2 linked regions of the Bombyx mori genome follow. The main gene of each other region encodes a partner of the protein of the gene in region 2 in a complex. Links are inferred from orthologs where the notes say so. Each region holds a gene or a part of one and is shown on either strand. Other genes may lie near its edges.

The links.
Region 1: dynein regulatory complex subunit 7 (region 2) and dynein regulatory complex protein 8 share a complex: the UniProt entries of both Homo sapiens proteins name them as parts of the nexin-dynein regulatory complex. The link is inferred for Bombyx mori from reciprocal best matches to the Homo sapiens genes DRC7 and DRC8.

The regions. Positions count from the first base shown.
Region 1 is NC_085130.1:5,994,791-5,999,164, reverse strand, and holds the start of dynein regulatory complex protein 8, read right to left. Parts: upstream 2,879-4,374; 5' UTR 2,746-2,878; coding exon 2,721-2,745; intron 2,472-2,720; coding exon 2,358-2,471; intron 1,853-2,357; coding exon 1,729-1,852; intron 1,278-1,728; coding exon 1,151-1,277; intron 334-1,150; exon of another isoform or gene 95-333; coding exon 11-94; intron 1-10. Other genes in the region: heterogeneous nuclear ribonucleoprotein U-like protein 1, read left to right, coding at 3,584-3,713. UniProt on the Homo sapiens protein: Component of the nexin-dynein regulatory complex (N-DRC), a key regulator of ciliary/flagellar motility which maintains the alignment and integrity of the distal axoneme and regulates microtubule sliding in motile axonemes.
Region 2 is NC_085131.1:3,580,402-3,584,054, reverse strand, and holds the end of dynein regulatory complex subunit 7, read left to right. Parts: intron 1-1,863; coding exon 1,864-1,955; intron 1,956-2,938; coding exon 2,939-3,095; 3' UTR 3,096-3,355; downstream 3,356-3,653. UniProt on the Homo sapiens protein: Component of the nexin-dynein regulatory complex (N-DRC) a key regulator of ciliary/flagellar motility which maintains the alignment and integrity of the distal axoneme and regulates microtubule sliding in motile axonemes.

The DNA.
Region 1 (4,374 bases), on a different chromosome or scaffold from region 2:
ATGCGCTCACCATAAGTTGGTTGATGTAATATTCGTACATTATTGTATCTGTTACAGGATCTAACGCTGTTTGCATCATTTCATCGTACTCCTCCTGTATCATGAAAAAAATGAGAGCCATAAGAATACTCGTTGAAATTTAACCGAGTCAATTCATATCCATATACAACAGTATAGTATTTGTTAGCATAACATATAACACGGTATTATTTTATAATAACTAATGTTATGGATTATTGTTGTATAGTGTTAGGATTATTAATTATAAAAAATAATGTTATATTATAATACGATTCGGTATAAATAAAAATTCTATCGAAGTACGAATTGAAACTGTGTTATCTCTTAGAACACTTAAAACACTTCACAAACACGAGAGACTATTTCAGTTTCGCCCTAACATGAAGGTTCACGGGGCCCAAGCCTGAGTGTTGCTAACACTGGCCCTAGCAAGAGCAGCGCTTCGCAGAATCTACCACCGGATCGGGAACGCGACCCACTGAGAAGATTCGGCGAGAAACTTAGTTCGGCGAGGACTGTGACCGGTGCTTGTGGTACCTAAAAGCACCGTTAATGGATCGGGAGGATCCGTAATGACGTGTTTTGGGTGACGTCGACAGCATCTCTGCAACGCTTATAAAGTCGATACGACATCCCTAGAATCGTCGAGAACATTCCTCACAAGTCGAGCACTTTCAATGCGTGCTTCCGCTACCTGACAATAGATGGCGTTGTACTTTTCGAGCGTTCTAGATGTTGCTATCATTTGGTATTCGTTTCGGCTGTTCAGCGATAGATGGCGTTACTCTTACCGGCGTAACAATATATTATACGACATAAAGTGAAGGCAGCCGGAAAACGAATTGTTTTATTTAAAACTAGCTGACCCGGCAGACTTCGTAGTACCCCAATCGATAAATAAAAGACCGACAGGGGACACATCAAAGGAAAAACAAAATTGTTATTTTTATTAAATTCCGTGCATTTTCATATCTATCTATCTTTTAAATCTTCGCTCGACTTCCACAAATAATTCAAGACCAAAATTAGCCAAATCGGTTCAGCCGTTCTCGAGTTTTAGCGAGACTGATTAACAACAATTCATTTTTATATATATAGATATAGATAATAATAAGAAATTTTAAGGTACCTGCGTAAATGACTCTCCTTCTTCCATCATAAGCTTGGCGAACCTCTCTTTAGTGAGGTACCCACGTCCCTCCGTGTCAAAATATCTGAATGCAGCCAACAGCATTTCAGCGCTCGCCGGATAAAACCTGTCCCATTAATAAATAAAATACCTGACATAATGAACATTTTATGGAAAATTAAATTAAAAAATTCACGTACGAAAGGTAGAAAGCTAACATCAAAATCTACTTATCTCGGTGATCAATGGCGTAATTGGCTTTGTCAAAAATTCCAACGTTTCCATAAGCTACAATTTAATGGCATAAGCACCACATGATGCTTAGGCTAAAGTATAAGTGTAGGTAATTTATTTCGTAGTAAACGCAATACAGTGAAATCCAATTGTTCTTTGTCAATTTTTGATATTAGCATAGTCGGCCGCGTTTTAATTAGAAACAAAAACCTTAGCCACAGCAACGTGTGGCCGGGTCTGCCAGTATTATATTAAAAAGAAGATATGAAAAATAACAACGAAGATTGAGCCACACTGTCAAAATTTTAAAATTGTTTAACCTTTTTAATTTTAATATTACAAACCTATGTTCTATCATGACTTTACACATGTAAGGTAAAAAGTTCGTTAACGGAACGTTTCCAGTTGCTTCTTTGTTTTCCGTTGCTAAAATCACCTCTTGTATCTCGGCTTCAGTTGGACAGCAACCTTTAAAAAACATATATTTAACGTCTCTTTTGCTATATTCAAAATTTACCATGTAAACAGTCTATTTAGTACTCAAACAGTTATCCGCTTAGAAGTTTCCAAAACAAAAAACGGCCTAAGGGTCCGTTCACACAGACCGGCTCGGAGAGGAGAGCACCTTCATTCCGACTATTCCTCCTAAATAATTTGTAGCGACTCGAAGACGTGAATAATCACTGTCATACTAAAATTGAGATATCTATTATCCTAAAAGGGTGAAAAATTGGAGCACGGAAAGCAAAATGATGACTTTTTTCATGCGTAATTACGTTGTAAACACGGCTATTGTATTCTTACGATATTTAGTATGATTTCGCGATACTTCGGCACTGTTCCAAGCGCCATCGGCTACTCGTGGTGACTCGTGTCTTTTAATTTACCGTGAGAGTCAGAATTTTTTAAATACTCTTTATTACACTAGTAAAGTATTAAAACATTTAACGAAAACCAGAAAAAAAAGCATTACCCAAAGATCGAAGAATTGTTCCTATTTCCCTTACATCTACGACTTGCTTCCCAGAATGGTCAAATACTTCGAAAGCTTCAATTATTTTTTTCTCCAAATCATTGTTTGGTTGAACTAGAAAGATACATTTAAGGTATATGAGATATACCAATATATGACATATATCAGATATTATACCAGACGTAATATCTATTTACCAATAAAAATGTTTGGTTTTGTTTAAATTTCAACTAATAAATGTATTTATGTATGTATTCATTTATAATAAAATTTAATGAGTGATACTAAATTACACAGTATTTACATCGCTCGTTTATAAATTATTAAATGTATATAAAGTAAATCTTTCAAATAATAACTAACTTTTAGGTTCCTCTTTTCTTGCCATAATGAACTAATAGTTTAATTATAAGATTTGTAACACTAATAAGTACACGTATTAAATTGAAAAAAATATTCCGTAACCAGGCAACACAACCTATCAGTTATCACTAGTGTCATCGACGAAGCTTTAGTTCTATTTTGCACCAGAGCTGCTGTAAGTTAGTATGTATATATGTGACGGATGCTTTGAACATGATTTTGACCCCCTTCAAAACGTAGACTGAAATCAAAATTTGACATAGGTACTTATCAAGGACCGTTGACAATGCAATATTTTAAACAGTTAGACCTATTATCCATAAATTAGTTTTTTTTAGGATTAGCTCCCAGTTTTAACAGCTCCTCCACAATATTGACAAAGCTTAATTCAACCAATGTACAAATTAATAGCTTATTGTTGACATGTTGATGTTTAATTGTCGTACCACATTCAAAAAATATTAGTTAAAAAAAAATATATACTTTAAAAAACACAAAAATATGCTTTTATAGAAAATCAAATAGAAAATAAATTCATTGTAAAAACAATCCAATCTATACTGATTAAACAGCAGGCTTCCAGACTTTTGAGTAGTATGGATAAGAAACCCTTGGCCTTTTGAATTTTACAACAAATAGCTTATTCCAAAAAATTCTGGAATCGCCAATCCCCACCATAGATAATATACCGCCATTTCCTTCCGTTATGCTGATGCGCCGCTAAATCGCCATTTTGGATTTAGTTGGCGCTTTTTCTGTCGTGAATTTTCGTTCAGATAGTAATAGAATTAATATTATTTAAGCACATGTGTTTTAAAAACTTTAAAGTGTTGTGAAGTGGATACTATCAGACGATTAATACAATGGATCCTGCTAAAATGAAGGTGGTGGACTTGAGGTCCGAGTTGGGTGCTCTCGGGTTAGATACGAAGGGAAACAAGCCGGCTTTGGTAGAAAGATTGAAAAAAGCACTCGAAGCGAAAACTGGAACAGGTTAGGATTTCAGATGTAATTATTTAATGCGTAATGTACAGTTTTTTAGTAATGTTGCTGAAATTGTTGTTAGGGACTTTTTTAATTACTGCACGTGTACATTTGTCGATCAATCATGGATCATTGTTGCACTGTTGTTTCCACTTTAAGAGATTTAGTGTGATTCTTAGTAACTTTAACTTCCGTAGTAACCATACATCAGTTTGCTGTCCCATTTAGAGATTTGCAAACACACCTATTTTAATATCTGACGCCAAAATCAAGGTTACGACTTTATTCACACTCAAGCATGAGATAAAATCGCATAAAAATCTAATAATTTATTAAATATTAATGTACAGCATCATTAAGTTTTCGAAGTATTTTATATGTTTTTACTGATACAACGACGCATATCAGTTATTGCAGTTATTCCAACTGAACAGTTCAAATCGTAATCGGTTTGAAAACTTCGACATCGATATCAATTTATGTATACACTGTTTTATGGGAAATTCATTCATATGATTATTCTTAGGCTTAATAATAGGTAAGAAGAGCTCGATTCTGCAAAGTAAAATAAAACGAAATTCAATCAAATCAGTTAAAAGCTTTTTTTGCACAAAATGTATACGTCTTTTTGCTTCTAATGTCCAGATATAGTATTTTTAGGTATAGAAGT
Region 2 (3,653 bases):
CAGGAGCCAGGGTACGATACTGACGCTGCTGGATTTCTCACGGGCTTTTGATACAATTAACACTGCCTTACTCTTAGCAAAATTAACTCACTATGGGTTCTCTGATAATGCTGTGCAATGGTTTAGCAGTTATATGTCGAGTAGAACGCAATTTGTACAGATACGGAAAGAAGATGGAACTAAACTAACCTCTACTTCTAAGCCGATTACTAGAGGCGTTCCCCAAGGTTCTGTCCTGGGACCATTGTTATTTATTTTGTACAGTGCAGATATCACTCAGTGTTTCAAGAATTGTAAATACCATGTTTATGCTGACGATGTACAATTATACCACTCTTTTGATGTTGGAGATACCCCTTCTGCTGTCAGTTTTATCAATGAGGATCTGCAGAGGATTGTCTCTTGGTCTGAACAGAATTCCTTAGTATTGAACCCCTCTAAGTCTAAATACATGATACTAGGCAGTAAATCTCAGATAGCAAAGATTTTATCACTCGATCCTAAGGTGACTGTTTCGGGTAAGGAAATTGATCGGGTGGAGTTAGCATGCAGTTTGGGTTTGACAATTGATCCCGAATTGCGATTCGAGGCCCATATTACAAAGAATTTAAGAACTTGTTTTTACAGACTGAAGATTCTGTACTCGTTTAGACAGTACGTCAGTGTACCCATTAGGAAGTTGCTTATCGATAGTCTAGTTTTGTCGAAATTAAATTACTGTGATACTGTTTATGGTCCCTGTTTACTCTCGAGAACTGAAAAATTAATACAACGCATTCAAAATGCCTGTGCCAGGTATTGCTTTGACATTCCTGTGAGAGGACACATAACGCCCTATTTAAATGATCACAATATATTGAAAATGGCAGCTAGAAGAAGGTTGCACTTAGCAGTCTTACTATTTGGAGTGATTTCGACACATGAACCTAGGTATTTGTATGAGAAGTTAGATTGGAGAAGCACTCAGTACAGGTATGGCTCACGAGCTGCTGTTAAGCCATTGTTGACGCCCAAATATAAAACAGCTGCTTTTCGGGGAGCGTTTAAATACGCAGCTACGCATTGCTGGAACGATCTCCCACCACCTATTCGTCACATTGTAACAAAGCATGGCTTTATTAATCGTTTAAAATCATTTCTATTGGATTCACAAAAACTAATTTAATTTATAGTATTTATAGGAACTAGTTTTATCCTTGCTTTTGAAAACCTCCTTTTATTTAAGTTATTTTTTTTTTTTTTATGTACAAGTGTAAATGTTGTGCTGCTTGCCAGTATTAGTAATAGTATTATCGTGCTTTATTTTATTTTATTTGTTGTTTCGTTGTGGGCTGCCTACGGGGTGCTGTTACTGTTTGCTTATTATGTTATATATGTATGTATTAGGGTTCACAATTTAATTTGATTTTTGTTTTGTTTTTTTCTTAAATTTTTATAATTTACTAGTTTTACTAATTTATACCATATTCTAAGTATGTACACACGTAATTAGCCTTCATTCCCGCAAAGAACCAAGGGGAAACGGGGGTGACTGAAAATCAGCGCTGTTCGATTTATCAACCTCGAACAGCAATAGCTGAGCCACCTCCTTTTGCCTTTTTCTCTTTTTTTTTCTTTTCTTTTATTTGTATTTCATTTTATTTTCTGTGATGTGAAAGGCAATAAATGATTTTTATTATTATTATTATTATTATAAAGCCGTAAGAGATTCTGGTTTTAATTACTTTTTCGCTGCACAAAAATTTGCGAATCAGCAATGTGTTTCTCATAAAATAATTGGCGATTTTTATTGCTTTCTTCATAATTATCCGCAGCAGCCTCTATTGCTGTATTAAATTTGTTCTTCATTTTCAAATTTAACAGTTGAACAACGAATACAAAAACAAGAGACTGTGGTACTTAGCGAACCAATTCATTCTGACACCCGAGAAAGAGAGTAACTACTTCACTATGAGGTCAGTATAAGTTATCTATTGAAATAATCCATGAAATAGATCGTAAATTTCCATTTTATTTTGACGTATTAACTTGACCGCAAAAAGCATGGAGGGTAGAGGTAAGGAGAATCGTCTCTGATGTGAAAAAGTGTCCGTTAAAATCTGCTAAATAAGGGTGGCGCTGCTAAGTAGCAACCGGGTAAATTTTAAAAAAGGCGCTGAACGTTATTAGAACAAGATAGAGAAATAAAAAAGGACGAAAGAACTGAAGCACTACAAAATCATAAAAAGTATTTTATTTAAAGCTGATAAGAAAATGCAATCGATGTCTCCACGTTTTACCACAGCAATAATTTTAGGTTATATTGACGAAATTAGTTTGGACTACGTAAACATGTGAGGTCTTGTATATTACACTGTTACTAACTACTCTATTCATTAAATATATTATATTTCCTAACTCGGCATACTTCAATCAGTTAACAACTGCTCCATTCCTATGCTAGCGCCATTCTGGAGGATTTTTGAACTGTTACTTAGTGCTGAAAGTGGGACACTTTTTCAAGTTTCTCCCATATAAGACGGTTCTCCTTACCTCCCTCCATAGCTAAAAGTCTGCGCTCCATAAAATGCTTGTAATGAACGATCTGACTTAGAAGAGGCGTGGAGTCGTAATTAATATTTTTTTATTGTTTTGCCTACTAACGAATGATTTACTGTGATATTGTCAGTTTAAAAATTGATGTCAGATTGAATGCATTCTCGCAGTGGCCAGTTGTTAGAAGCAAAAGGTCGCATATGCATGACTTCATAATGTTAATTCTAGATCGAAATCAGCTATTTAAGCGTCTGTGCGCTTTTTTTGGGGCGAAACTATTTTTCGGTTCTAATGACCTCTAATACTAGATGAACGGGGACTCCGACTCCCTCTGTACGTCTACAGAAGTCGTTTTTTTTTTAAAACAGATCTGCTATAACGTCTACAATTTTTGACATTTCAGTGCGGAATTAGCATTCCAAGTACACACACTAGAGGTGCGATTGACAAGGCATCAAGATTTGTCAGGTCCAAGATATAAAATCCTCCTAGAGTATCTTGACAAACATCCATTACTGAAGGAATATAATCGTTCAAAGAATTATTATGGCATAAAATAGTATTACGTTCATCTTCAAATTTATTTTTGGGTTGGTATATTTTCTTAAAAAGGGCCCGTGTGGACATACTGGCAAATTGTAGTCAAGCGCGGTATTAAAAAAGCGTATTAAAAATAAAAGAAAGTTTCACAGCCCTATTAGGGCCGTTTAATTTTGAATTTCGAGTTTACAAGAAGACTAATTTTTATTTTCAAATATGTAGGTACTTAATGTACGATTTTGTTTTTTGGTGAAATAAATAAAATTTATTACGGTGTTAACGTTGTATGAATTTTAAATTAGATGACTTACAGGAGAAACTTATCGATAAATAAAAGCAAGCGGAAACCGATAGTGAAATATGCGATAAGTACATACATGAGATCTTAAATTAAAAGCTTCCAGAATTTTATGGATTTTTTTAAGGAACCATAATAATATAAAATGTAAGAAATTGAACATATTTTTTCATCAAGATGAACGCTACTCACAACGAATGACTTCACCAGGTGCAACACGTGATGTATAGCATGCACCTAGATGTGGTACTTAGTTTCGCGCCAATTTTGAAAAATGAAA